Linked DNA regions of Mus musculus. The protein of the gene in region 5 interacts with the protein of the main gene of each other region in a pairwise test. Links are inferred from orthologs where the notes say so. Each region holds a gene or a part of one and is shown on either strand. Other genes may lie near its edges. The genes, in order: Epc1, Scnm1, Lmo2, Dcx, Rint1, Sh2d4a and 2310011J03Rik.

Region 1 (3,500 bases), on a different chromosome or scaffold from region 5:
TTTAACTATTCAGTGTACTGGTGTTCAGCTTTAGGGGAAAGCGTTCGGAACAGAAAGGAAGAAACTTTGATGTAATCTCTGGTGTCTGCTCCTTGTACAGGGTCGTGCTGGACAGAGCGCATTCAGACTATGACAGTATGTTTCACCACCTGGATTTGGACATGCTTTCCTCACCACAACCTTCTCCAGTCAATCAGTTTGCCAATACCTCAGAACCCAATACCTCGGACAGATCTTCCTCTAAAGACCTCAGTCAGATACTAGTCGATATCAAATCATGTAGATGGCGGCACTTTAGGCCTCGGACACCATCCCTGCCTGACAGTGACAGTGGTGAACTCTCCAGTAGAAAGTTACACAGGAGTATCAGTCGAGCAGGAGCAGCACAGCCTGGGGCCCACACGTGCAGCACCTCCACCCAGAACAGAAGTAGCAGTGGCTCAGCACACTGTGGTACGTTCATCTGTGGTACCCATTGCTGTACCAGGGCGGGGCCTTCCATCTTGTTGAGGATGTGGTGTTTTATTCTCATACTGAGATGCTTAAGGATTTCTTTGAATTCTCCTCAGTAGTGCTGTTGCTCTGTGAGTTTGTGTGTGTGTATCTTTCCTTAACCACAGCCAAAAAGAGGTGGTATGTGGTATGTTAATACATATTTAATGTTTAATTTGTTACCTTAAGGCAGCCCATGAACCACAAGATTGATTTTCAAATAATAAAATAAAAGGGACCCCAAGTTGTTAGTGGTATGTACTTGAACATCTAATCCGGTCTGCTTAAATTTTGTGGCCAGTAGTCAGTAGTTACACGTGAACTTACACTGACACTCGTTCAGAATAAAGACCAGAGAAGCTGACTTAATATTTTGGAGACATTTTTAGATAATCCCTACAGGGTGACCAAAACACTGGAAACAGTGCCATGCCCTGTGACTTTCTATTTTAAACTACTGAGTCCACATTATCTGAGTTGTTAAAATTATAAAAGCTTACTGTCAGCGTGGCGCAGCAGATTAAGATCCCGAGTGCCAAGCCTGACAGCCTGAGTTCAGTGCCCAGGACCCACACGGTAGAAGGAAAGGGTCCCACTCCTTCAGTTTGTCTTCTGGCCTCTGGACATGTGCTGTGGCATGTGCATGCACACACTCATACATACATACAATAAATGAAATCTTTTGGGGTATTTTTACTGGTGGTAGTTGTTTTGGTAGGTATTCTGAAAAAGGGTTTCACTGTAGTTCTGGCTGTCCTGAAACCACTTTGTAGGCCAGGCTGGCCTTACACTCAGAGATCTGCCTGGTTCTGCTCCTGAGATTAAAGCAAGCACCACCATGCCTGGCTTATGTTTACAATATTTTAAAATCATTTCATTAAAGTTCTTTTAGGATGATTTTAATACAGATTTTCTTTTTTTTTTTTTTTTTTTTCTCTTTTTTGTTTTTTGAGACAGGGTTTCTCTGTATAGCCATGGCTGTCCTGGAAGTCACTTTGTAGACCAGGCTGGCCTCGAACTCAGAAATCCGCCTGCCTCTGCCTCCCAAGTGCTGGGATTAAAGGCTTGCGCCACCACCACCCGGCTAATACAGATTTTCTAAAAGAGGATTGTTTCCCTAATTACATAATTAGGTTACAATTAAAGTGTTTTTGATTGATAGATAGATAGATATTTATTTACACTTAAAATGTTATCCCCTTTCCTGGTTTTCCCCTCTGAAGACCCCCTATCCCCTCCCCTCCCCTCCCCCCTGCTCACCAACCCAACCATTCCTGCTTCCTGGCTCTGGCATTCCCCTACACTCAGGCATAGAACCTCCACACAGGGCCAAGGGCCTCTCCTCCCATTGATGACCGACTAGGCCATCCTCTGCTACATATGCAGCTGGAGCCCTGAATCCCACCATGTGAACTCTTTGGTTGGTGGCTTAGTCCCTAGGAGCTCTCGGGGTACTGGTTAGTTCATATTGTTGTTCCTCCTATGGGGCTACAAACCCCTTCAGCCACCTGGGTACTTTCTCTAGCTCCTCCATTGTGTACCCTGTGCTCAATCCAATGGTTGGCTGTGAGCATCCACCTCTGTATTTGTCAGGCACTGGTAGAGCCTCTCAGGAGACAGCTATATCAGGCTTCTGTAGTTTGGGGGACTTTAATGATTGTAATTCCACTAATTTTACTACTCTTTTTCTGTCCTGGATAGTCCTTAAAGTCAGGCTGAAGAGCTGGTGTAGTGAAGGCTTAACTGACACAGGTGTGGGGAGTTCAAAAGTGGAAACTCTTAATTGGTTCCCCAAAAATATTTTTGAAGATGTATGAAATTTTTTTGAGATTTTTATGGAGAAAGTAGCTATGTTCTATCAACCCACATCATGTCGCTCCTGTGGTGGAGACACTGAAGAGCATGACAGACCTCCAGATTGCATTTCAGTCTATGGAACGAGGTGTGCTGGCATGACTTACAGAGGCATGTCAGTGCCAGTTGCAAACTTTGCTGATTTGTCTCCCAAACATCATTAAAAGGTAGACATTAGCAAAAGTTACCCAAAAAAGCCTTTCATAGTTATGCAGCTTTTCTCCATAATCATCATTTGATAGTAGGGCCTTTTTAAATAATATGTTTATTTTCAAATATACTTAGAGAATAAATGCCTACAGGCTACCATAGAGTTACACTCTGTTTTCTTATTGGGATAGATATTCATGAGATCTGAGGCCCTCTCTGTGGCTCTACAAATTATGTCATATGTGCATTTAACATAAGTGAGGTCTGCTAGCTGCCCCTGAAGACAGAAAAGACAATCCAGCTATTTGCTTGTTACATGGGAGTCGAAGTGTTCTCCAGAGACAGCCTAGATCTGCCGAGGGTCTCATGAGTGTCAGCCAGGTCCTCTCCAAAAGCATCAGCAGGCTAGATCTTAGCTGTGCTGACTCTGCCATCCTGTCAGATGGACAGGAGTCAGCTTCAAATGTAACCACTTCTGATTATTCAGTTACTGACTCTGATTGAATCGAAACTTACAAGTGATGCACACCCCCACCAGGCTCCTTTTCTAAGTAGTTATTAGTGAATTGTATACACATTTTTTAATAGGAAATTCCAACTGAAGGTACCAGGAGTGTACTCACTTCCTCAAAGAGTGCCCAGTTGTAAGGCTTCTCACTGCTCGGGGTCCCTTCAGCTTGCTACTCAGTCTTGGCCATTTCACAACTCTGCACCCATGGAGGGTGTTCTGAGTAGGGTGTGAGGTAGCCTCCAAGAAGGTAATGTAAATGCTGTGTCCCCTTTGTCCTGTGTGTCAGAAGGGGAGCTTGGGGAGACTTAGTGATGGGGACTTTGAATGTCTAGGGCTAGATCTACATAGGGGTAGGATAAATTGTTTTTAATGATCGTTAGTTAATACATGATTTGGACTGGTTTCAAATAGTTTTCTGGGCTTTTATTAAGCTATAATAGCATCTTTTCAGTGTTTGCTCAGTGGTTGAGAATCCATCTGTTCTGTGCATTTG
Region 2 (3,940 bases), on a different chromosome or scaffold from region 5:
AGTTGGGCAGATCTGTCCCAACAGTGCTCTGCTGAGATGTGAAAGCAAAATAAGGAAGAAAAAAAACAGACCATAATAGAATTTAAATAATGTGAGAGGGGGCATCTTAGCGGGCCACCCACTTTCTCGGGACTATCTCAATTCTGGAAGACTCACCGTTACCCCGTATTTGAGTGCTAATCCAGCCAGGGTGTCTCCAGGCTCCAATTGATGCTCCAGGCGTCTTTCCCTCACTGGGGAGCAGGATGATTGTACCAGGCTTCCATAAGAACGAGCACGGCTCCCATGCAGCAGCCCTGACCCCCCGAGGGGAGGCTGTCTAGAGGGAGAAGCCATCTCCTCACTGTCAAGACCTAGGGTCACAACTGAGGGAAGCCCAGCTAAGTAACAGTGACGGCCGAACCCAAGGAATGGATATTCAGATAATTCGTTTTCTCTTCTCTCGTCTCTCTACAGTCTCCCGACTCTCGAGAGACTACATTCGTCGTCCTCCTCTTGCTGCTTCTTGCCGTGCCTGGAGTTACTGTCCGTCTCTTAAGAAGTCTGCCAGGCCGGTTACATTTCTCTTTCCACGAGCTCCTTACCCATAAGTATCTTCCCTGAGCTGTCAGTCGCTGACCCGGTTGACTTTCGACGCCCCCTCCCCAACTCCTCGCAAGCCTGATCTCTGACCTTTGAACCCTAGACACCCTCATCAACACTCTTCCCTCAGTGTATCCCCACATCCAACAGTCGGGATGCCGGGTGCTCCCACATCCTCTCTGTTCCAAATAAGGCCCACCCCAGGTAGGTTGTGGCTGAGGAGTACGAGCCTGAGGACAGCAAGAGTTTGTAGTATATAGTCCACTGAGATCCCTGACGCCTCGCTCCACATCAGGAAGGTCCCACCCTGAAATTCCGGCTCCACATACAGGATCTTGAGTCTCCGAACACCTGGATCCTTCGAGATGTGAGGTCCTGTGTCCAGGTGAGCAGTGTGCTCTTCAAAAAAATAAAAAAATAAAATAAATAACCAAAAGACTTCATTTCCCAAAAGGCACAGCGTCTCAAAGTATTGTAGGAAATGCAGGCCCCCTCAGGGCGCTGGAGGCGGGTCTTCCGGTTCGCGCGACGCAAGCGTGGAACATCATCCCCGGAAGTACAGATTCAACAAGAAAGAAACCGGAAGCAGAGAAGGCGATAGTGTACTCTTTCTACGGTGGCCTAAAGGAGCAGCGAAGTAGGCGTAGGGGAATTTATCGTAGTCTCACAGTCGCTATGTCTTTTAAGAGGGAAGGGGACGACTGGAGTCAACTCAATGTGCTCAAAGTAAGCCTTAGTGAGAGTCTGATCACCTTCAGCCGCCCTGTTGTTTTGTTTTGTTGCTCTGGCGACATCTAGGGGAGGGCTTAGGGGACCAGAACTGAGTGGTGACCCCTACTACCCTATGATCTGCATAGCCCCGTGTGCCATTTGACTCCTTATCCATACTATTTCATTTCCATCCGTCCCTCTTACTCATTTCTCCTATCCTGCTCCCTGCAGAAACGGAGAGTTGGGGACCTGCTGGCTAGTTACATCCCTGAGGACGAGGCACTGATGCTGCGGGATGGACGGTGAGAGCGAAGAGTGGATCAAGCCTGGGGATTCGGGGATCAAAGGCTCAACAAACTTTTGTCACTAAGGAGTTCAGGAGTATAATAGGACTCTTTGGCTGGAAGTGAAGTGTAAGGGGTGGAGATCGGGAAACCTGGGAGTTGGTGGTGGAGTACTCTGACAGAAGTAGGACCTACTCACCATAGCAAGAACACCCCGACTGCAGGCTCTCGAACACACAACATACACACCACACACCACACACATCATTCACTTCTCGTTTCCCTAGCTTTGCTTGTGCCATCTGCCCCCATCGACCAGTACTAGACACGCTGGCCATGTTGACAGCCCACCGTGCAGGCAAGAAGCATTTGTCCAGTAAGTATCAGAGAAGTGGGGAGGGCGGGAGATGGAGAGCAAGCCACCAGGCATTGTGCTTTTCATTCCTCCTTGCTTTTGTTCTCAGGTCTGAAGCTTTTCTATGGCAAAAAGCAAACAGGCAAGGGAACAGAGCAAAATCCAAGACAGCAGAACGAATTGAAGACAGAAAGCAAAACTGAGGTGAGAGGGCATCAGGTGTGGTTTAGACAGGGCTATACTTCACACAACAGGCTTGAGGGAACGTTTGCTCCTAACAGCTCTAACTCTGTCTCTTCATCACCAGGCTCCTTTGCTAACCCAGACTCGAATCATCACCCAGAATGCTCTACACAGAGCTCCCCACTATAACAGTTGCTGCCGGAGGAAGCACAGGTCCGTGGAATGGGAAAGCCAGGAGTGGAAAAGGGTAGAAGGAAATAGATGACTTTAAAGTTATTGCTCTCCAGATTGTATTCTGAGAAATAATAATCTTGTGGAAATATTTTTTTTAAATGATGGTAGGGGCTGGACAGATGGCTCAGCAGTTAAGAGCACTGACTGCTCTTCCAGAGGTCCTGAGTTCAATTCCCAGCAACCACATGATGGTTCACAACCATCCATAATGAGATCTGGCGCCCTCTTCTGGGGTGTCTGAAGACAGCTACAGTGTACTCATATATATAAAAGAAATCGTAAACCATCATTTTTTCAGGTTTTTTGTTTTTTGGGTTTTTTGTTTGTTTGTTTTTTGAGACAGGGTTTCTCTGTGTAGCCCTGGCTGTCCTGGAACTCACTCTGTAGACCAGGCTAGCCTCAGAAATCTGCTTACCTCTGCCTCCCAAGTGCTGGGATTAAAGGCGTGCACCACCACTGCCCGGTGGTTTATGATTTTAAAATAAATTTTTTAGCAAGTGGAAAATTGTAGAATAATCATACTTATTAGGAACATTAGGGCTTGGTGAGATGCCTCAGTGGTTAGGAACGCAGGGGGCTCTTCCAGAAGTCCTGAGTTCAATTCTTAGCAACCACATGGTGGCTCACAACCATCCAAAAGGGATCTCTTCTGGCATGTAGGTACACATGCAGACAGAGCACTCCTATATTTTAAAAAGTGCAATAAATAAATACATTCAAAAAGAGAGAATTGTAACATTAGTAGAGCACGGTGGTGTACTTTTTGTTTGTTTGTAGCCCTGGCTGTCCTGAAACCCTGCTATTTAGACCAAGGTGACCTCATATTCACAAAGATCTGCCTGCTTCTATCCCTCAAGTGTTGGGATTAAAGGTGAGCACTCCATGCCTGGCCTTGGAAAATCTTAAGACAAAAACTTAGAACCAGCCGGGCAGTGGTGGCGACGCCTTTAATCCCAGCACTTGGGAGGCAGAGGTAAGCAGACTTCTGAGTTTGAGGCCAGCCTGGTCTACAGAGTGAGCTCCAGGACAGCCAGGACTACACAGAGAAACCCTGTCTCGAAAAACCAAACCAAACCAACCAACCAACCAAACAAACAAACAAAAAACTCTTAGAACTATGTATTAGAGCATAAGGAATATGGAAAGTTACAAAACTTATGGAATATCTGTCTATATTGAGGTAATTTATTGTAATGACTTACAGTTTGTAGTCATGTTGTTGGGTTACAACAATGGGCAGCTGTGAATGAGAAGTCTAAGAATCTAATAGTTGCTCAGTCCCACAAGGCTGGTTGTTTCAGCTGGTCTTGTATAAATAGGTTCTAAAGATGTGCTTGGCAAGTAAGTGCAAGCAGTGGAAGAAGAGTGAGTCTTCCTTCTTCCAGTGGTCTTATGTAGGCCTCCAGCAGAAGGTGTGGCCTACATTAAGGCGTGTACACCACACCTGGATCTGGGACTTGCTTTGTCCCAGGCTGACTTTGAATCAGAGTTCTCCTTGCCTCCTGGGATTAAAGGCATGTTATACCTTGCCTGGACCTAAGCTTTTCACAGCCACTGTGCCTCAAGATCTCCATGCCAAGATCCAGATCAG
Region 3 (3,500 bases), on a different chromosome or scaffold from region 5:
TGCCGGGCGTGGTGGCGCACGCCTTTAATCCCAGCACTTGGGAGGTAGAGGCAGGCGGATTTCTGAGTTTGAGGCCAGCCTGGTCTACAAGGTGAGTTCCAGGACAGCCAGGGCTATACAGAGAAACCCTGTCTCAAAAAACCAAAAACCAAAAACCAAAACAAAACAAAAAAAAAGACTATCTACACATATGCATATGCTTATTGAGTACTAAATGAGAACCCACCCAAGAAACTTATAAATGAATTCTCTCTTCCCCTAGTTCCCTGGATATTTCCCTACGTACACTTCTCCAAACCCTATCCTTTGGTCTGCCCCCACCCCCAGAATTTTGTCCTTATTCTGAATTCCGTGTTTTTTATTCTCTTACCTTTAAAAACATTGGTGATTTACCATGCAGTGATGTGTCTCTGCAAACATAGCCACAGTAGAGGAAGAACTCACGGCTTCTCTGAAGAGGCAGCTGAAGCTCAGCCTCCACAGCCTAGGCCCCTTAGGCAGACACCTCAGGAGCTAGAGACTATGTATCCAACCCCGGATGTGCCCCAGAAGTGTGAGGGATATACCTGAGATAGTCTCTCCTGCACAATTTCCGTCCCAGCTTGTAGTAGAGGCGCCTCCCCACCTCTCCCAGCCGACACCCACAGAGGTCACAGCTGAGGCAATCCTCATGCCAGTACTGGTCGATGGCTTTCAGGAAGTAGCGGTCCCCTATGTTCTGCTGGCAGCCACCACATGTCAGCAGGGATGGGGGTATCTGCAGCACCTCATCCACGGGTTCCCTGGGGAAGAGCCAAGCATTAGGATATGCTGCCTGAAGGGAGACAAGCACAAAGTCCCAGGAATCACTGCATGCCCAAGGTTCTATGGGGAACCTCACTACATTTCCTTCCAGCAGTATAAGGAGAAAGGACGCCCAAATTCAGACTGCATAGACACAGACAACCTTGGATAAAGACGGGAGTGGGCTAGAGAGACCTTATCATCTGAAAAACTGAAGACGGGATACCAGGAGGTGTCCAAGGCACCTACAGATAGCCCTTGGACCCTTGACTACATTCCAGCATCTCTGCAGGCACCTCTGATCCAATCTGCTTCTTCCTCCTTCCCCTCCTACTCTCCTCCATCTTCCCAGCCCTCCCTCCCTTTTTTCTTTGGACACAGGCACTGCCAAAGAATCCCAAAGAATAGACTTGGGACCAAAGGAGTTGCTCACAGCCAAAGCATCTGATGACCCCCCCCCCCCCCAGTGTGCTAACAATCTACAGATAACCTGTTGAATGCACCCTACAAAGACCTTCCCGCTGCACAGAATCAAAGGTAGAGAAGGAAGAAAGCCATCGAAATTATATTTGGTTGCCTTCTCTTCCCCAAACAGAAAGTTCCGTCAATATCTGATTATTCCGATTGAAGTTCTGCATTCTTCCATACATCCTGCATGAGTCTTTGGATGGAGATTCGGTTTCATAGGTAGAGAGACAGCCCAACATGTCAGAGGCCCAACGGTCATTTCTCCAGTACCACCTAAAGTGGGGACATACACCCAGTCCATCCTGAGGTGGAACCTGGAGGAGCAGGATGGCAAGTTTATCAGCATCATCCGGAGGCTCTGGGCTGCGTTAGACACTGTCTCAAAGAAGTACAAGATCTGAATGACTCTGGCAGGAAATCTAGGTCACGATGCAGCTCTTAAACAGACAGAGGATAGTGGTGATGTGGTTTTTTTTTTTCCTTCAAACTTTTTTCACCACAGCAAAAGTAGTTTGAATAAAATCAAATTAGTAAAGAGAGTGGAGGAGGGGGCCAAACAATGGATTTAAAAGAGAGTGGAAGGCAATTAAATTGATACCAAAGTCTCAATCCAGGCACGGTGTTCACAGTGAGCCTGAGGGATGTGTTCTTTCATTTAAAAAGTGTTATGTAGGGGATCACAAGATGCTTAGGAGGTGAGGGTGCTTGCCACCAAGCCCAATGATCTGATGTGGTCCCCAGGACACACACAGCGGAAAGAAAGAGCCAATTACAGCAGGCTGTTCTATCCATGCACATAGATAAACACACACACACACACACACACACTAATGTAAAAATTTGCTTTAAAGTCACACATAGGGCCTTCTGCTTGCTTTGCCTCCCTGGAACCTGACCACTTTTGTTTTACATGTAAGAAATAACTTTACTGAGAGAAAACGGCATGGAAGAAATGAATGTGATGTCAGATAGGAGACAGGGGATACTTAATGCTTGTTAATTTGTAATATGTGTTCCTGGAACACTGTTCAAATAAAACCTGCTTTTAAAAAAATCTAGTATAAAAATTTTTTTAATTGGTTTTTATTCCTATTATGAAATCTCCAATGGAATTTCCTCCTGAGTACCCTAGGTGATATGTCTGTGTCTCTTAGTTTTATTTGGCACTTTTACCAAATGACCTTGTGGCGTAATTGGCCTGTACCCATGAAGCCCAGCTTCATTATAGTTGGGGACAGTGAGACTCAGGGAATGAGTGTTTATAGGGCACTCCAGCATCTACAGGTGACCCTATCTAGGAGACTATTAAGCATCCGTTGTCAATATTTAGCTAAATGCTAATGCCAAACCCACCATTTTAGCACAAAATATAAGAGTATCTTCTTTTAGAACCAGGAAGTTTGAAGCTCAGGTCAGTTTCTTTGAGAAAAACAAAGATCAAGTCAGGTTTTAGGTGTTGTTTGTTTGTTTGTTGTTTCAGTACTGATGATCAAACCCAGGTCCCTAGTCGCTTTAGGTAAGTGCTCCACCACTGACTTCTTTCTCAATTCTGTTTGTTTATATTGTTTTTAAAGGTTTATTTTTATTTATAATTGTATGTGTGTGTGTGTGGGGGGGGGGGAAGGGTGAAGATGCACACAAGGGCAGGTGCCCCAGAAGGCCATGGGCCTCAGATACCCTAGAGATGGGGTTACAGAGGGTTGTGAGCCACCCAGTATGGGTGCTGGGAATCCAACCTGGGTCCCATGTAAGAGCAGGGGATGCTCTTAACCACTGAGCTGTATTCCGGTTCTCTCTTCCCTTCACATGGGTTCCAGGAATCAAACTCAGGTCATCAGACTTAGAGCAAGCACCTTTAGCAGCTGAGGCAGCTCGAAAACCCTTTCCTTCCTTTTAAAGTTTAAGACAAGATCTCACTAAATTGCCCAGGTTGTCCTGGAACTTTCCATTCTTCTGCCCCAGTCTCTCATGTATACAGAATTATGGGTGAGGTGGGCTAAGACCTTAAATCGTTTTAATAATACACTAGAAGTTGCCAGGCAGTGGTGGCACACACCTAAAAATCCCAGCACTCTGGAGGCAGAAGCAGGTGGATTTCTGAGTTTGAGGCCAGCCTGGGCTGCAGTGTGAGTTTCAGGACAGCCAGAACTACAAAGAGAAACCCTGTCAGGTTCCTACTAGAGCCTTTGTTTCTATAGGGTATATATAAGGCATCCATCCTCATATTTGAAAGTTAACTAAGATCCTTG
Region 4 (3,979 bases), on a different chromosome or scaffold from region 5:
GAGCCGCAACCACTTACCTAAAAGTCTAATCCTCTGTGAACACATCTAGGAATTCCTACATTGGGGTACGTATTTCTAATGAATGGCAATTCCCAAATAATTTATCAGTAGTCCATAGGACACTTGGGCACATTTTTTTATCTGTTAAACCAACCATACATTCTTCTTTCCCCTAATGGTTTCATGGCCTGCTTTGAAGGTGCTATACAGAGTTACCCATAAACAACACCTAGAGTGAGTGTCACAATTCAGAGTTTCCTTTGTATACCCAGGTAGATAAGCACATTTAGCATTAGAAAACCCATATTCATGTCAACCTCAGCAGAGATGGAACCCCATGAGGAATGACAGTTAAGGATCCTGGTGGTGACTTTGGGATCAGAAGCCTGAGCATCAGTCAACTTGATGTTTTAGCAAACAAATAGCCTAGTTTCTTTCAAGGAAGACTAAAAATGTAACCATAAGCGAGGATGTCCTTTCCCTCTAGGGGCCACCACCCCACTACTCACTACTTGAATTACCTTCTTCCAGTTCATCCATGCTTCCAATCTTCCTGGATCCGTCAATGGTATAAATGTAGCGCACTCCCTGAGGCAGGTTAATGTTGTCAGACAAGGATCGGGTCAGGTCAGCCAGCAACGCATCAAAACTACGAAAACGGTCAGAAGAAACAGCGTACACAATCCCCTTGAAGTAACGGTCCCCATTGCGGTAGAAACGTACCTTCTTGGCCTTCTTCTCATTACTTAATGCCTGCAAGGTTCTGGTTCTGTAGAAGCTACAGTGGGCACTATGAGTGGGACTTGGAAGTCCATTCATCCGTGACCCTCTCATATTTCTAGATGCTTTGTCTCGTTCGTCAAAATGTCCAAAATCAAGTTCCATATTTTGGTGGAACCACAGCAACCTGATTGTTAGAGAAAAGGGTGGAGATAAGGAGAGGCAAAGAATAAGGATGGATAAGGGAGGGGGGAGAATTAAAATATTAGCCAGATCCAGAGCTGCAATCTGCTGCCTGTGAAAAGAACTGGTTGAAAAAAGCCTGTGACCCATCTGCTGCTTGTCCCTGACCTGCAGGAATATTGATCTTAATAGAGAAGAAGGAGGGGGCTGGGCAGTAGGCTGAGGACTGAATGGTGGGGAGGGGGATAGGAGGAAGAGATAGAAAGGGTGGCACTTTTGGCACTGTTCCAATTTGGGGAGGGCGTGTTGAAATAGCTTAAAAACCTGGAGCTTCCTGACAGTGGCTCCTATCAAATTGTAACTTCGGGCAAAATACATTAAAACTGGCATCTGCTCCTTCACACATGGCCACATGACTAACAGTTGTAAATGAATCCATAGCCTGACTAAATTCCCTCAAAGAGAAACAGAGGGAGCTAGCCAAGGTTAGCACCCTCCTGTAGGAAGCAGCCTTTGCATCTCAATACAATGGCTAGGAAGGGGGTGAATTACTTTTATTCCTTGTCCTTTTTTGCCTGCTCTAATATGTGTATCCCCTCCCCCAGAATAAACTAGGATTCTCTTTTAAAGGGACAGCCTCCAGGGAATACCCAGTGCCTTTGTGCTATTCATCAAACCCTCTCCCCATCAAGCTGGTGCCGCTATACGGCATCCATAAGAAATAAGCTGGGGTCTAAAAGGGGGAGGGATTGTCGAAAAAACCCAGTTATTTAGCAAGCTATTAGCTCTGCTTCCCTTTCATTTCCATTTGATCACAGAATCCTTTTTCTCCTTTCAGGTGTTTCATCCCCTCCCCGACCAATGAATGCAGCAACACCTCTTAATGGAATAATTGTGGAAAGATTCCCAAATGGGTCCCTGAATAGCACATGGGACCTTTCCAAGTAGGTACACCTTTCATTGTTCTGGGTTTCTCCCCTGACTGAAGGAATATTTTGCCCTCGAAGCAGGCAATTCACTTCAAACTTGTCTATTGCTTAGGTGTATTGATGGAGGGAAAAAAAAAGTCATCTGTCAAGCTTGGATTTCAACCCCCCTGAACCCGTCCCCCACCAGAAAAAAAAACGTCCAAAACAATGAAAACATGCAACCCAATAATACAACCAAAGCCCTAACCCCTTACAAAGGTAATGTGACATCCAAGAAACCAAACTATTAACATTCATCTCACAAATGGGGGGAAAAAGACTCACAAAGCAAGAGGGCTCAGCTGCTATATATATACTGCCACATCGAGATTTGCAAGAAACCAGGGAGAAAGGAGATAAAGGAGGACTGGTAGTTGGTATATTTGCCAGGCTCAGTACCCCCTTTTTTTCCAGTGTCACCATGACCTATGCTGAGCTCAGCATTGTCTCTGTCAGACAACCTGCAGTAGTAAGAGCCCACCTCCTCAAGATGAGTAGCAAGCATTTTCCCCAGGCAGGCTGTGCAAATAAAGCTATGCTTTAGAATCAGAAGTGCTATTATTCTAAATTAGCATCATAGTGAAAACAAAGGAACAACAAACTCACTTTTCCAAAGGAAAATCCCAGGTAGAATCTTAGAGGACAAAAATCCTATAGAATAAGGCAAATAAAAGAGAAGAAAGAGGCGAACACACAGAGAAAGAAAGCCGTGTGCCTTGTGCTTTCCCGGTTGACATCTGTTACATTCTGCTTGAAAATCACTCGAAAGCCCCACTCACCGGTTTTCTGCTGGTTGGGTGGAGATGCTGAGAGAAAGAAAACCAATCTCTCTATGCCTTTGTTGTCTGAGCTCCAAGCAAGAAATTCCTGCCAGGGTGGATAGTTGCCTTCTAGGTCCTAGTGCCTTGTCCAGCTTCTCCCCTGTAACTGAAGCTTAGCGAACACCCCCAACCTCCTATGATTAATTACATGCTTTTTTTTCTTCAATTCACAGCCTGCATTAACAGCTAGAAAGGTTTCGTTTATAACGCACAGGAAATTGCAGGGTAGGAAAAAAAAGATTGCACAGGCAAGCTCAGAATGCTCTAATGAGCAATGTGCTAGCCCTTTCTCTTAGAAAATTGGCAATTTTACTTGGCTAAAACCTTCTGCCTAGTGGCTGGACTCAGCAGGCCAAATCAAGTTTCTTAGAAATTACAGATCTCCTCTTTTTATCTTCTTCAAAGAAAATAAAAAATATGTAAATTTTTTAACATTTCGGCTCATGCATCCAACACTGGTTGTTTTTTAAACGAAGTCAGCAGGAATAGTAAATTGACAGTACACGGGAAAATAGTTGCAGGAATCATGAAGGCTGGAATTGAAAAGTGGCACTTCTCCAAGTTTTTGTTCAGTTGTTTTATCGAGTCAGGGTCCAGCTTTATAGTGATAGTTGTTCTGGAACTCGCTGTGTAGCCCAGGCTGACCTCTCATTTGCTGAAAATTTTCAGCCTCTGTTCTGCTTCTTGGCTACTAGAATTTGCCAGCACTTAGGTCTCTAGGCCCAGCATGACTCCAAAACATTTTAGACTGATGTAAAACATTGGTTAATGTTTCACCTTCCCACTCCTGGGCATATACCCAAAGGAGACTATAACCTACCATAGAGACACTTGCATATCTGTGTTTATGGCTGCTCTATTCACAAAAGCCAGAAAATAGAAACAGCCCAGATGTCTGTTAACAGATGAATGGGTAATGAAAATGCAAGATATATGCATGATTTTAATCACCCATCAGTAAAATGTGAAATTATGAGATTTGCAAGAAATTGTGTGGAACCGAAAATGATATACTGAGTGAAGTATCCGAGGCTGAGAGAGACAAAAGGATTTATTTTCTTTCTTTCATATGGGACTTTAGCTTATAGTGTGTGTGTGTGTGTGTGTGTGTGTGTGTGTGTGTGTGTGTGTGTGTGTGTAGACATCAAAAAAGGGAAAGCAGCACCTAAGAAGGGAAGTGTGTTTTAAAGATTGGGAATTGAGGTCTAGTCCGTAGAGTGGAATCTTCTGGTTCTATACAACTGGTTAAAAGCTACTATGTCTTTGGAGGTCATAGGCTCTAGGGAG
Region 5 (3,500 bases):
TCTCACAAGCGACACGCTAGCCTGGACACGGCGGCACACACCTTTATTCCCAGCACTCGGGAGGCAGGGGCAGGTGGGGCTCTGCGAGTTCCAGGTCAGCCTGGTGTACAGAATGACTTTCAAGCCAGTCAGAGCTAGAGTGATCGATCCCTCATCACCAACAAAACCGCCTGACCTAGGAGCTGGGAGAAAGTGTGCTATGGTAGCGCTCCTGACTCCTGACCATGCACAGGAATCCCCTGAAGATCTTCTCCTGATACACAGAATCCAATTCAAGGGAAGAAGAGAGAGCAGGTGAGCCCGGGCAGTGGGGATAGCAGATCTCAGTAGTCACAGAAGAACATTGTACAAGAGATAACAGGGACACTTACGGTTTAGGAGGGAGGAAGGAAGACAGGGAGCACAGATGACTGGGGTTTAGGACCAACCCCACTAGGGAGGCAAGATTCAGACTCCTAGGATACAGGGCTGGCTCGAACTTGTCAAACCAACACAAGCTAGAGTCATCTGAAAAGATGCCTCCATCAGACAGTCCTTTAGGCAAGTGTGTGGGCATTTTCTTGTTTAACGTGGAAGTGTCCAAGCCACTATGTGTAGTACCACCCCTGGGAAGGGGGAAGGTGGTCCTCAGTTATATAAAAACCAAACATTGTAAACCAAAACCACCTTTATTCCCCAAGTTACTTTTGATCACAGCATTTTATCACAGCATTAGAAAGCGAGGCCAGCCTGGTCTACAGAGTGAGTTCCAGGACAGCCAGGGCTGCACAGAGAAACCCTGTCTGGAAAAACCAAAAAAAAAAAAAAAAAAGAAAGCAAGACTTGAGTGTTGGACAGATGCAAATGCTACTAGCCACTGAGGAAACCTGTTAAGAGACAAATGAGAATAATATTGGACAATTTCAGATTTGTGGTGGTTTGAATATGTACAGTCCCCATAGATGTGAGTGAATGCTTGGCCTATGGGGAGTGGCCCTATTAGGAAGTGTGGTTTTTTTGGAGTAGGCATGCGTTTGTTGAAAGGAGTGTGTCACTGTGGGGGGTCTCCTATATTCAGTGTAGCACAGTCTCCTCCTTACTCCCTGCAGATCAAGATGTAGAACCCTCAGCTCCTTCTCCAACACCATGTCTGCCTGGACACTGCCATGCTTCCCACCATGATGATGATGGACCAAACCTGGAAGCCAGCCCCAGTTACATGCTTTCCTTTATGAGAGCTGCCTTGGTCATGGCGTCTCTCCACAGCAATGAAAGAAACCCTAGGACAAGTTTCACTTACGGACTTTAGCAAGTCTCTGTGGATTCAAGAGGTAAAAGAGCAGTGGCAAGCTAGAAAATGGAGAATGATAATAAACGCTTTTTAAAAATACCTGAACAACCAAATGAATGAACAGACACCTACTAAAAAATGAAGGGAAGGATTTTGGTTTGTTTTCTGGGGAAGACCTAAGTGTGCTCGTCTACTGAGAAGACAGGACTGTTGGTGAAGCAAAGGATAAAGCAAACTAAGGCCACTGGCTGCCAAGGTGCTGGGAAGGAAGGAGCTAGGGTGTAGGGCTGCCTTAGCACTGGCTCCTACTAGAAGACTTATGTGGGGTAGAAGTGTTTCCTCTGTCTGACAGGAACAGAGAGATCAGGGGTTGGCAGCATGTGCAAACTCCAATGGTACATATGTATGAAAATGTCATAATGAAACCTACTTATGCACTAAAAACATTAAAGATATATTTCTAAAGCCTGGGGCAGCAGGTGGTCATTCAGCAGGTAAAACATTTGCAAAATCAGCCTGATCAGCCAAGTCTGCACTCTGGAACCCCTGAGAAGGCTCCATGCTCTCTGCGTCAGTTCCCGACTCCAGGTTCCTGCCTTGAGTTCCTGGTTGGCAGTGTGCAGGCCTTGCATGCATAAGGCCCTGAGTTTGATCCTTGGGCACACAATTTGTTGGTACATGTTGAAAATCCTAGCATCCCAGAGGTGGAAGGAAGAAGACCAGAAGTTCAAGGCCCTTCTCTGCTACACAATTAAAGTCTCATCTGGGACCCTGTTTAAAACAAAAGAACTAGTTTACCTCTGAAAAGGTAAACAGATTATAAATAAGTTGGAAATATGGGATAGACTGTTAAGTCAATACATCCATGCGAGATGCTTCGCTTTTTGGTTAGAGAAGAGGTAACAGCATTTCAGCCACACAGGAAGAGGGGAAACTTCTGGATGACTGAGGACAATATAAGACTGCACGGCGAGGCTGAAGACACCTATGGTGTCAGGCCACAGATTAGGCTAGCCTTGACTAACTCAGGAGTGCGACATCCTCCACCAGAGCCTTGCAAAAGCAGAAAAGCTGAGCCATCAGGCTACACAGAGACCATCAGTAGGTATGACAGGAAAGCAGAGATGTGGAGGCCTAACTCAACCTAACTCAGCACATGGGGATGGGAGAGCATAAAGACACACCATGCCCACATATCCAGAGTTGGCTCGCCCTAATTAATTTCTTACTTATATGATAAAATATTTTCCCTTTGACAGAGTACTGCAACTATAAGACCTTCTTATCTTTAGCATAAATTATTTTCATTGGATTTCTAAAAATAAAAGCATTATATTCGTAGTAAAATGAACCCCTAAAAATGTTTAAAAGCAGAAGAAAATAACTTTTCAGCCAGCACCCAGAAACAATCATTCTTACAGTTCTCTCAGTTTTTTATTATTTTTTATGACAGGGTTCCATGGAACCCAGGATGGTCTGAAATCATCCTGTAGCTGAGGCTAGCCTTGACCTCTTGATGCATTTGCCTCCTACCTCCACGCACTGAAGTTATCAGTGTGTGCCACCACTCCGAGCAACCACTATACAATACTCATGTTTCTTTCTATCTGGGTAATTACACACACTTGGAATGGTTATGTGTAACCATTTCTGCACATTCTGAAATTACTCATAGAGTTGTTCTAGAAGTTACTGAATGAAAGAGATATACAATGCTAGCTATCATAAAGAAATTATTATATCAAAACAACATAAAATGTTAGCTATCACAGCAAGTCAGTAGGAACTCTTACTTACAAACTACATAGCAGGGGTCTTTAAAGCCTGTCTCTCAGTTTGAGGCTTGCCCTCATGGCCTGCATCGACAGTGCATGATGTGCAATACTCATAATACTGCTTATGTTCCATGTCCATGAACACAGTTGACAGAACTGCACTGAGGCTAACACTTACCTGTTCTTCTAACTTCACTTTGCTTTCTGTCATTTGTTCTATGAGTTTACCAAGTGTCTTCAAAGACTTAAGGTCACTTCCCACTTCCTTCTCTATGAATGCAGACACATAGGAAAGGAGCGCGTCGTCACTGCCACCTTGGCTGAGCTGCTCGCTTCCAGCAGGAGCTGCAGTGTTCACGTCACCTACAGAAAGGAAAAGCAGCTACTCAGCAGCACCTCGAGGCTGCCGGAGAGATACGCAGGCCAGGACACCAGAGCACCTGAGGGCTGGAGGC
Region 6 (3,500 bases), on a different chromosome or scaffold from region 5:
GCAATTAAAACACAGAAATTTTGTTTGTTTGTTTGTTTGTTTGTTTGTTTCATTTTCCCAAACTCTGAACAGAATTCTTTTTAGTTTTTAGGGGCAGAAGATGTAGCTCAGTGGCAGACTGCTTAGCTAACATGTGAAAGGCCCTGGGTTTGATCCTGCTACAAGCAGACAAATAAATATTAGAATATTAATAACATTCTATATAAGTCAGTAGTTATAAAAAAGAATTTGTTAGTCAGTAAACATGAAAGATGCTGTTTTCTTCTAGATCACTAAATTTTTCGTTTTTATCTTCGAGCACGTGTTGCCCCTAGAAGGTAAATGTAATTTCATCTCCAAATAGAGACTTTGTTCCAAAATGGATCCTTTCAAAATTCTGAAACTGTGATCTTCTCTCTGTGTCTTAGGAGAGAGCTGCCATCAAACCTTGACTCCAGCAATAAAAAGTAGCCCAAGATCCTAATGTTACTTTTAGTCTCTAGAGGCAATGCTGATCATTAAACACCCTTCGGCCTGCATGTTCCCCCTCCTCGTTTCTGTCAGCCTGTTGCCACTGGATGGAGGTAGGGACAGCAAGTCACCTTGACATCGTCACCCTGTGGTTGGGTTCAAACTTTAGCCACTGTAGATAACTTACAGGAAAGAAAGGAATCAAGGAAGCCGGGTTAGAGGCAAGCCTGTGTTGACTTAAGCAGTGAGCCAACATCCACCGCATCTCATGCCCCAAGGAACACAGTTTTAATCAGTCCATCTTGGCCCTTATGATGAAACCCCTCTGTATGGCTTCTTACCCTAAAGACTTTGGAGGGATTCCCAGCGGCTGTAGGAACTGGGGCTTCGGAGGAAGAGGAGGTCTTCTGGGCTTCTGTGGACCTGTCAGTGGGTTCTGCAGTCCGTCCCCACTCCTCCCCCTTTGGGATAGCCTCTTGTAGTCTTCCCGTGCTTGTTTAGCTAAAGAGCGTCTCTTCTCATCAGCCGCCTTAGATTTTCGCACTAGAAAGATAACATTGTCTGAGTTAGCCCACCAGGCTTGCCAACAGTCACATTCAGAGCCCACAGACACAGCAGACTCAGCCCTGCTCCATGGTACTCTGGGAAGGCTCCAGACAGAGTTGCTTTTGTGCTCATATTAACTATCATCCCCAGTACCTACTATCACATTTTAAGGCCCCTCCTGTACTCGCTCCAGAATTCCTATCTGCATTTAGGAACTAGGGACTTTCTGAGAAGGAAAGACAAGAAAAAGAAAGACAAAGGAGAAGAAGGTGGTAGGGTGGAAAATGTACAGCAAGGTTAAGTTACTGCACCTGGCAAACCTAAGCTGTGAGGACTAGTCAAAGAGACAAAGAATAGAGGCTGGTCAAAAGTCACATCCAGAGGCTACCATAGACTTCACTGAAGGGGAATTGGCCAAAGAGACAAAAAGCAAAGGGATTCTAACCATAAACACATTGTGGAGAACTTCAGAACACCTTTGTAAACACACACATTTCCCAATCTGCCTTCTAATTTTAATTTCTTTCTTAAATAGACAGGGTTATGTTTTAGCCATATAGTGTTAAAGATTATTACAGGATGCAATCACTCATTTTTATGGAGGATTTTTGTTTGAATTTTTAAAATTCCAGACATTATGGGCTAAATCCTGTCATGTTTGACTCTGAAAACATACTCAAAATATTTCATCATACCCAAGTTTCACTGCTTAGCACAAGAAGGCCACAAATTGTATCTTGCAAATATTTTTTTTCACCAAAGTTTTTGGTATTTGTTGTAGAGGAACTGTAGACTAATTTAGGACTCTGAGCATCTAGAAAAATCTTGCTATGTGGGTTTCACCTCTTTACAAGTCTCAGGGGACTATCAGGCAATTGAGTGAGTCTTCTCTGTTGATGGCATGTGAAGACTCTATTCTCATACCTGGGTTGCCCATCCTCTGTCTATCCTGATCTTTCTGGTTTGGCCCTGGCAGTACAAGCTCCAAAGAGGGTCAATGTTGGGTCAGAGGCAGAGATACATGAAAATGATGCAAACATATCCCACCTGTCCATTTTGTGTGCTCTGTGTTACAAAGTCATGGATTTGGTGGGCATTTCATAGGTCACCCTATAAGGAGAACTGAGATATGTCAGTTTTTAAAAAAAAAAAACTGTTTAAAAGTATATGCACTATTGAGAACTTGGGGAAAAAACAAAACAGAATAATAAGAAGTAAAATTCAAACAAACAATTTAAAATCCATCTTCTCCAAAAGAAAAAACAAAAAAAAAAAAAACAAAAAAACAAGGTTCACATGTTAATAACTTTCCTGCTCTCTTCCTTCAAAATTTCGAATTTTTAAATAGTGGTTTTTATACTATTTATAATGTTTCTTATCCAAGAAAGAGACAACTTTTAAAACCACTAAAGAGTTTTCAACATGATAGTTTTCATAGCTATGTGTAATTTAACCATACAGAGACACTATAATTTAATGGTGAAAAGATGAATGAAGCCTTCTGGCTTGCGGAGCATCTGAGTAATTAGCGTTTATTGATACCATTTGAGTGACACTCAGTGGAAAGATACTTCTCGAGGACCCACTGTGGGTGCCTCCTGCATGGATAGTTTTTCATTAGCAGGTCCAGTTGAGACCCTACATGTTGCTCCTGAGATCCTGGGTACTCACGAGATGCTTGCCATTCTGAGTCTTCTTTCCAGCTCTTGTATATCTGCTTGGTTTTCTCATCCTCTGTCTGCTTCATTTCCTCGTGGTCTTTTTCCTTGACGGGTTTAGTCTGTTGGAAAATAAAGACAGAGCTGGGAAGAGGTGAAAGAGTATGACGGGGTCTTTAAGAGGATAGAGGACAGCATCCTGGCTTCTATTAAACTGTCTCCTCCCATTAGGGAGGAACTTGGTGTCAGCAAGGCCTGAAGCAAGAACTTCAGCTACCTCAGTATAGGGCTGTAGGCTCTTTTCCTGACCTTCTCACAGGCTGTTTTCCCAAAGTACAGCTGGAAAGAACATTACAGAGTTATAGTGAACATCGTGTTTTCAGAAATGCTTAGCACAATATATTGCATGTGACCTTACTAAACGGTCCTTCCCCAGACACAGCAGTCAGATATTTCAAATATCCTTCTCTGAAGTAAACATGCCAGCATAATCACTGATCTGCTGAAGCTGACAGGCTTCCAAGGGCAGTCTCAGCTGGGGACTATATGTTCTCCAACTTTCTATACAAACATGGAAGTTGATATATGATTTGGGGTGGCTCAAAATGGCATGAGTTTCCTTTGTTTTCTTCTTAGAACACTTTGAAATACACTACAGAGTGAGTACAAGTTCAGCACAAACAATTTTGCAAGACCGTATCTCAAAACTAAAAGAGGGCCATGGATTCAGCTCAGGAACATGGAATAGCTTTCTGAAATCTTATTACTGAGTTTCCTAGCATGAGCAAAGCTTCAAGCTCAATGTCCTGGTGCCATAGCAGCAGGAAGAGGCGGAGGAGGAGGAGA
Region 7 (4,082 bases), on a different chromosome or scaffold from region 5:
GGCCATCTTTCTCCCAGCCACCTCCTCCCATCCTGCCAGCCTTGGGGGCCCAGCAGCCACATTTGCCTTCTTCACCCCAGACAGTGGGGGACACAGGACACAGTGTGACATCCAGCCCAGGGTAGGCAAGAGCTGACGAGCCCTTAGATTCAGAGCAGGAGGGGTCTGCTAGCCGCCAGGCTGCCGATGGCTGCTAGCGCTCTGAGCTGGACACCAGTGGTCTACCGGAGACTAACCACTGGGTGCTTGACCAGGGCATCATGCCTACCAGTTACCTCACTGTGTGTGTGTGTGTGTCTGTCGCTGTCCCTGGCCAATGTCACCCCTTGCTCATACCTGGTCAGTGTGTCCTCTGCTGCCATACCGTCTCCCGCCCTGTTCTACTACAGTGTTACACTTCTGTACATACTGACCCCCGACCCCCCACGCAGACCCCCGAGTGGACACCCTGCCTGGCTTCTGATTCTTGTTCATATCTTTAATAAAGCGAGCCACTCCATCGATCTGTAGCTTCATCTTTATCACTGGCTCTGGGGGGGGGGGGTCGTTCCAAGACCTTCTTCTACAGCTCTGTTCAACCCCAGAAGGTGTTTCTGAGCTCCCCACTGACTCGACAGCGTGTCACATCCCCACATGCTGGAGCCGAGGTTGACTGAGGTTCAGCCAAGCTGTACCTGGCCATCAGCCACTGGTCATTTGTGGTGGAGGTGTCATGGTGGAGGTGGGGACCAGGAGTCCAAGCTGCACTGGTCAGGGCAAGTTGGACCCCGTGACCGCCAGGAATGTGGAGTGTCAGGAATGATGTAGCCACAAGCTAAGGCCACTTCTGACAAAACAGTTCCAGCCAGCTTGGGACCCAAGGAGGCAGGTGTGGTAGCTAGCGCCTGAGCTGCCAAGGGGTGGCAGGGGGCTTGGGTACCCAGTGATCTAGCCTGGCTTAAGGGAGAACTGTGTTCAGGCATCAAACATCTTTAATCTTCCAGAACTAAAGTCCAGCCACCCCAAGAGTGGTGGGTCTTCTGCAAGAAGGCAAACTAAACCCCAGATCCAGAAGGGGCAACATTCACCACACACAGGGACCTGGCCTTTGAGTTCCTCTTGGACCCCTGGGCTCCCCAGAATGGAAACTCCCTTGATGAGTCTCCCCGGCCCCAGGGAGAACTGAGAAGGCAGTGTAGCCCTAGAGGGCCTGAGCCAGGCTCTATGAAGCGTGCAGCTAGCCCATTCTCTCAACCAAGATGCCAGTGGCTGGCCTGCTGTGGATGCTGGGGATGAAGACCTTCACTGCCCAGGGTGACATGGGACAGAAGAGCACACCGGTCACTATGGGGCAGACTGGCTTTGAGCCCCGACCTGCAATCAAGTCCTTGATGCAATTTAGGCCAGTGTCCCCATAATGAGGAGGTGGCCATGTCCCTAAGTCCCATCATGAATTAGAGGCCATTAAGGATGGAAGAGGGAACAAAGCTGCTAGCTGGCAAGGTGGGCCACTGGGTCTCCCCGGGCCAGGGTTGGGACAGCAAATGTTGACCCAGAGCCTCTGGTTGCTAGGTGCCCAGGCCTGGACCAAGGACATCAGGTGTAACTTCGGCTCTAGGAGGTGGCTGAAGTCACCTGGCTGATATCCTGTTCCAGCCGCTGACCAGCTTGCCGAAGGCCATCGAACTTCTGTCTCAGAGCTTCCCCCGCCTGCCGCAGCCTCTCATTCATAGCCACGTAGGCCCGGCTCTGTTGGTAGATCTGCTCCTGCTGGATCTCAGAGTCCTCAGCCCTTGGGGATGGGTCTGGGGGGTCTGAAGAGAAGAAACAGTGTCACCATCCCCAGGCCTGACATCCACCAACCCAGAGGCAAGAGGATCAGTGGTTCAAGGTCATCCTTGGCTACATGGTGAGTTCGAGGCCAGCCTGGGCTATATAGGCCTATTAGGCACTAGAAAACAAGACTCAGTTTCAGGTTTTGGTGTCATGGAGAGGACAGGACACCTCCAGCCACCCTGGCCTGCCGTTCTACCCAGGACTGCCTGGATTCCTGGATCCTAGGCCAGGAGTCGCAGATATGGCCCCTGCAAGTACTCTGGCCCCCCATTAATTTGTAGGAGCAGCTGGCCACGCCCCTCTGAGACAAGGTCTTGAACTCACAGCAATCCTCTTGCCCTAGACCCGGGTTGGCAGCACTTTCAACTTTTTTTTGTTTTTGTTTTTCGAGACAAGGTTTCTCTGTGTAGCCCTGGCTGTCCTGGAACTCAGTCTGTAGACCAGGCTGGCCTCGAACTCAAAAATCCGCCTGCCTCTGCCTCCCAAGAGTTCGGAGCACTTTCAATTTTATTTCTGATGATCTTTCTTTGCAGGGGAAGAGAAGGGCAGGGACAAAAAAGATTCGTCCCTGCAGTCGGTTTGCTCCCCACTCGGGAGTCTCACGTTCTCCTACCTTCCGGGGCCAGGGCAGTGAAAACAGGATCTTGAGCGGGTGCCCCTCGCACGTCCTCCAGGATCTGCTCCACCGTGGGAGGCGCGGGGCGAGTGGGCAGTACCACGCGTTTCTTCGCCTTGGAGTTCATCTTGTAGGTGGAGCGCGCGCTAACTGGGGGTCCACTTTCGGCTCGGCCCGCCCACCTCGCGAACTCCTACGCACCCCTTACAGACCTGCGCCGAGGTCCCTACCCCGTCTCGCTTTCCCTCCTCCCGGAACCTCGGAGTTTGGCTCGATCTCCGCGCCAGTTTGCTCTTGGAACACCCCGCTGCCTATCTTCGTTCCAAGAACCTAGGCGGCCGCCACCGCTTCCGCTTCCTGCTTGAACGCCACTACGTTCCGGCACTTCCGGTCCACTCCAGCGCCACGCCTCGCGAAACCCCTCCCCCGTCTTAAAGAGCCCTAAGCCTAGATGCTCCTAGTTGCTATCCAGTAAGATCAGAAGGAACTCTGCCCTCCTTCACCGCGTGTGGTGGGAGGAAAGGGGTGAACGTGATTTCGAGAGTAATCAGTGTACAACCATTGCCAGGTACACAGTGGGCGCTCAATAAATGCTGGATGGAACCTAGCCACAGGCTTTGCTTCCTTGTGGTAGACCTTTAACTCAGTACTTTAATCTCAGTACTGTGAGGCAGAGGCAGGCAGACCTCTGTGAGTTCAAGATCATCTTGGTCAATATGGGGAATCCCAGAACAGCCAGGACTACACAGTGAGACCCTGTCTCAAAAGAGCAGTGGGAAAGCCGGGCAGTGGTGGCGCACGCCTTTAATCCCAGCACTCGGGAGGCAGAGGCAGGTAGATTTTTGAGGCCAGCCTGGTCTACAAAGTGAGTTCCAGGACAGCCAGGGCTAAACAGAGAAATCCTGTCTCGAAAAACCAAAAAAAAAAAAAAAAAAAAAAAAAAACCAGTGGGGGATGGGGGAGCGAGCTAGCTTCCTGTTCATGGCTGTATGGTAATTCAGCACTTGGCAGATCTGGGCTCAGAGCAGTCTTCCTCTGTGGGTCCTTATTCCTCCAGGGGCCCACCCTACCCTCAAGGACACCATAAACTCGACATCTTCTGTTTAACTTTTATTTGGCAACTATGAGGTTAGACATGGGGCTATGGATGGCTTGGAGACAGGGAAGGGGCAGATGATTGGTGGCTGTGGTCTGACCTCTTGCCCACTGTACCTGCTCCAAAATGAGTAAGGACACATCTCTTCCACTGGGAGCAGCTGAGGCTGAGCGGTGGGCTGTCACCTGACCCATGCAGCTGCTCTGCCCTGGCCTTCTGGGGCAGGCTTCTCTTCCAGCCTGAGAGCAGGACCTTGGGGTACCGGCCTTCTGTCCTGACAGCCAGGCATCTCTGGCTCTCCAGCCTCCAGGGATCTGTGCATGCATGGTTTTGGGCACTGGGGTATCTAGCCTGGGGCAGGTGGGCCTTCCTCAAGCCGAGGGGCCTCCCAAAGGCCCTGGCCAGCAGAGCCAGCACCATGGCCCAAGACTGGTAGCTGGGGGGCCACCAGAGGTGGCAAGCCTTGGAGGGGCTCTGGAGCTCTCCCAACACAAGGGACAGGGGACAGGCAGTGTAGTCGCTGCTCAGGCTGCTGCAGCAGGTGTAACAGGAGGG

The links.
Region 1: the proteins of Rint1 (region 5) and Epc1 interact in binary tests that used the Homo sapiens proteins (3 or more experiments, as listed by UniProt). The two-hybrid records come from large-scale screens. The link is inferred for Mus musculus from reciprocal best matches to the Homo sapiens genes RINT1 and EPC1.
Region 2: the proteins of Rint1 (region 5) and Scnm1 interact in binary tests that used the Homo sapiens proteins (3 or more experiments, as listed by UniProt). The two-hybrid records come from large-scale screens. The link is inferred for Mus musculus from reciprocal best matches to the Homo sapiens genes RINT1 and SCNM1.
Region 3: the proteins of Rint1 (region 5) and Lmo2 interact in binary tests that used the Homo sapiens proteins (3 or more experiments, as listed by UniProt). The two-hybrid records come from large-scale screens. The link is inferred for Mus musculus from reciprocal best matches to the Homo sapiens genes RINT1 and LMO2.
Region 4: the proteins of Rint1 (region 5) and Dcx interact in binary tests that used the Homo sapiens proteins (3 or more experiments, as listed by UniProt). The two-hybrid records come from large-scale screens. The link is inferred for Mus musculus from reciprocal best matches to the Homo sapiens genes RINT1 and DCX.
Region 6: the proteins of Rint1 (region 5) and Sh2d4a interact in binary tests that used the Homo sapiens proteins (3 or more experiments, as listed by UniProt). The two-hybrid records come from large-scale screens. The link is inferred for Mus musculus from reciprocal best matches to the Homo sapiens genes RINT1 and SH2D4A.
Region 7: the proteins of Rint1 (region 5) and 2310011J03Rik interact in binary tests that used the Homo sapiens proteins (3 or more experiments, as listed by UniProt). The link is inferred for Mus musculus from reciprocal best matches to the Homo sapiens genes RINT1 and C19orf25.

Annotation. Positions count from the first base shown.
Region 1 is NC_000084.6:6,445,858-6,449,357, reverse strand, and holds part of Epc1 (enhancer of polycomb homolog 1), read left to right. Parts: intron 1-100; coding exon 101-453; intron 454-3,500. UniProt on the Homo sapiens protein: Component of the NuA4 histone acetyltransferase (HAT) complex, a multiprotein complex involved in transcriptional activation of select genes principally by acetylation of nucleosomal histones H4 and H2A.
Region 2 is NC_000069.6:95,131,213-95,135,152, reverse strand, and holds the start of Scnm1 (sodium channel modifier 1), read left to right. Parts: upstream 1-1,140; 5' UTR 1,141-1,257; coding exon 1,258-1,308; intron 1,309-1,524; coding exon 1,525-1,595; intron 1,596-1,864; coding exon 1,865-1,953; intron 1,954-2,041; coding exon 2,042-2,136; intron 2,137-2,239; coding exon 2,240-2,328; intron 2,329-3,126; coding exon of another isoform or gene 3,127-3,166; exon of another isoform or gene 3,167-3,347; intron 3,348-3,940. Other genes in the region: Lysmd1 (lysM and putative peptidoglycan-binding domain-containing protein 1), read right to left, coding at 157-336. UniProt on the Homo sapiens protein: As a component of the minor spliceosome, involved in the splicing of U12-type introns in pre-mRNAs. Plays a role in the regulation of primary cilia length and Hedgehog signaling.
Region 3 is NC_000068.7:103,973,287-103,976,786, reverse strand, and holds part of Lmo2 (rhombotin-2), read right to left. Parts: intron 783-3,500; coding exon 567-782; intron 1-566. UniProt on the Homo sapiens protein: Acts with TAL1/SCL to regulate red blood cell development. Also acts with LDB1 to maintain erythroid precursors in an immature state.
Region 4 is NC_000086.7:143,930,420-143,934,398, forward strand, and holds the start of Dcx (neuronal migration protein doublecortin), read right to left. Parts: upstream 2,801-3,979; 5' UTR 2,651-2,800; exon of another isoform or gene 2,478-2,650; intron 908-2,477; 5' UTR 886-907; coding exon 522-885; intron 1-521. UniProt on the Homo sapiens protein: Microtubule-associated protein required for initial steps of neuronal dispersion and cortex lamination during cerebral cortex development. May act by competing with the putative neuronal protein kinase DCLK1 in binding to a target protein.
Region 5 is NC_000071.6:23,794,211-23,797,710, reverse strand, and holds part of Rint1 (RAD50-interacting protein 1), read right to left. Parts: intron 3,409-3,500; coding exon 3,224-3,408; intron 1-3,223. UniProt on the Homo sapiens protein: Involved in regulation of membrane traffic between the Golgi and the endoplasmic reticulum (ER); the function is proposed to depend on its association in the NRZ complex which is believed to play a role in SNARE assembly at the ER.
Region 6 is NC_000074.6:68,328,528-68,332,027, reverse strand, and holds part of Sh2d4a (SH2 domain-containing protein 4A), read right to left. Parts: intron 2,777-3,500; coding exon 2,668-2,776; intron 994-2,667; coding exon 792-993; intron 1-791. UniProt on the Homo sapiens protein: Inhibits estrogen-induced cell proliferation by competing with PLCG for binding to ESR1, blocking the effect of estrogen on PLCG and repressing estrogen-induced proliferation. May play a role in T-cell development and function.
Region 7 is NC_000076.6:80,317,755-80,321,836, forward strand, and holds 2310011J03Rik (UPF0449 protein C19orf25 homolog), read right to left. Parts: upstream 2,795-4,082; 5' UTR 2,559-2,794; coding exon 2,429-2,558; intron 1,794-2,428; coding exon 1,594-1,793; 3' UTR 501-1,593; downstream 1-500. Other genes in the region: Pcsk4 (proprotein convertase subtilisin/kexin type 4), read right to left, coding at 4,052-4,082.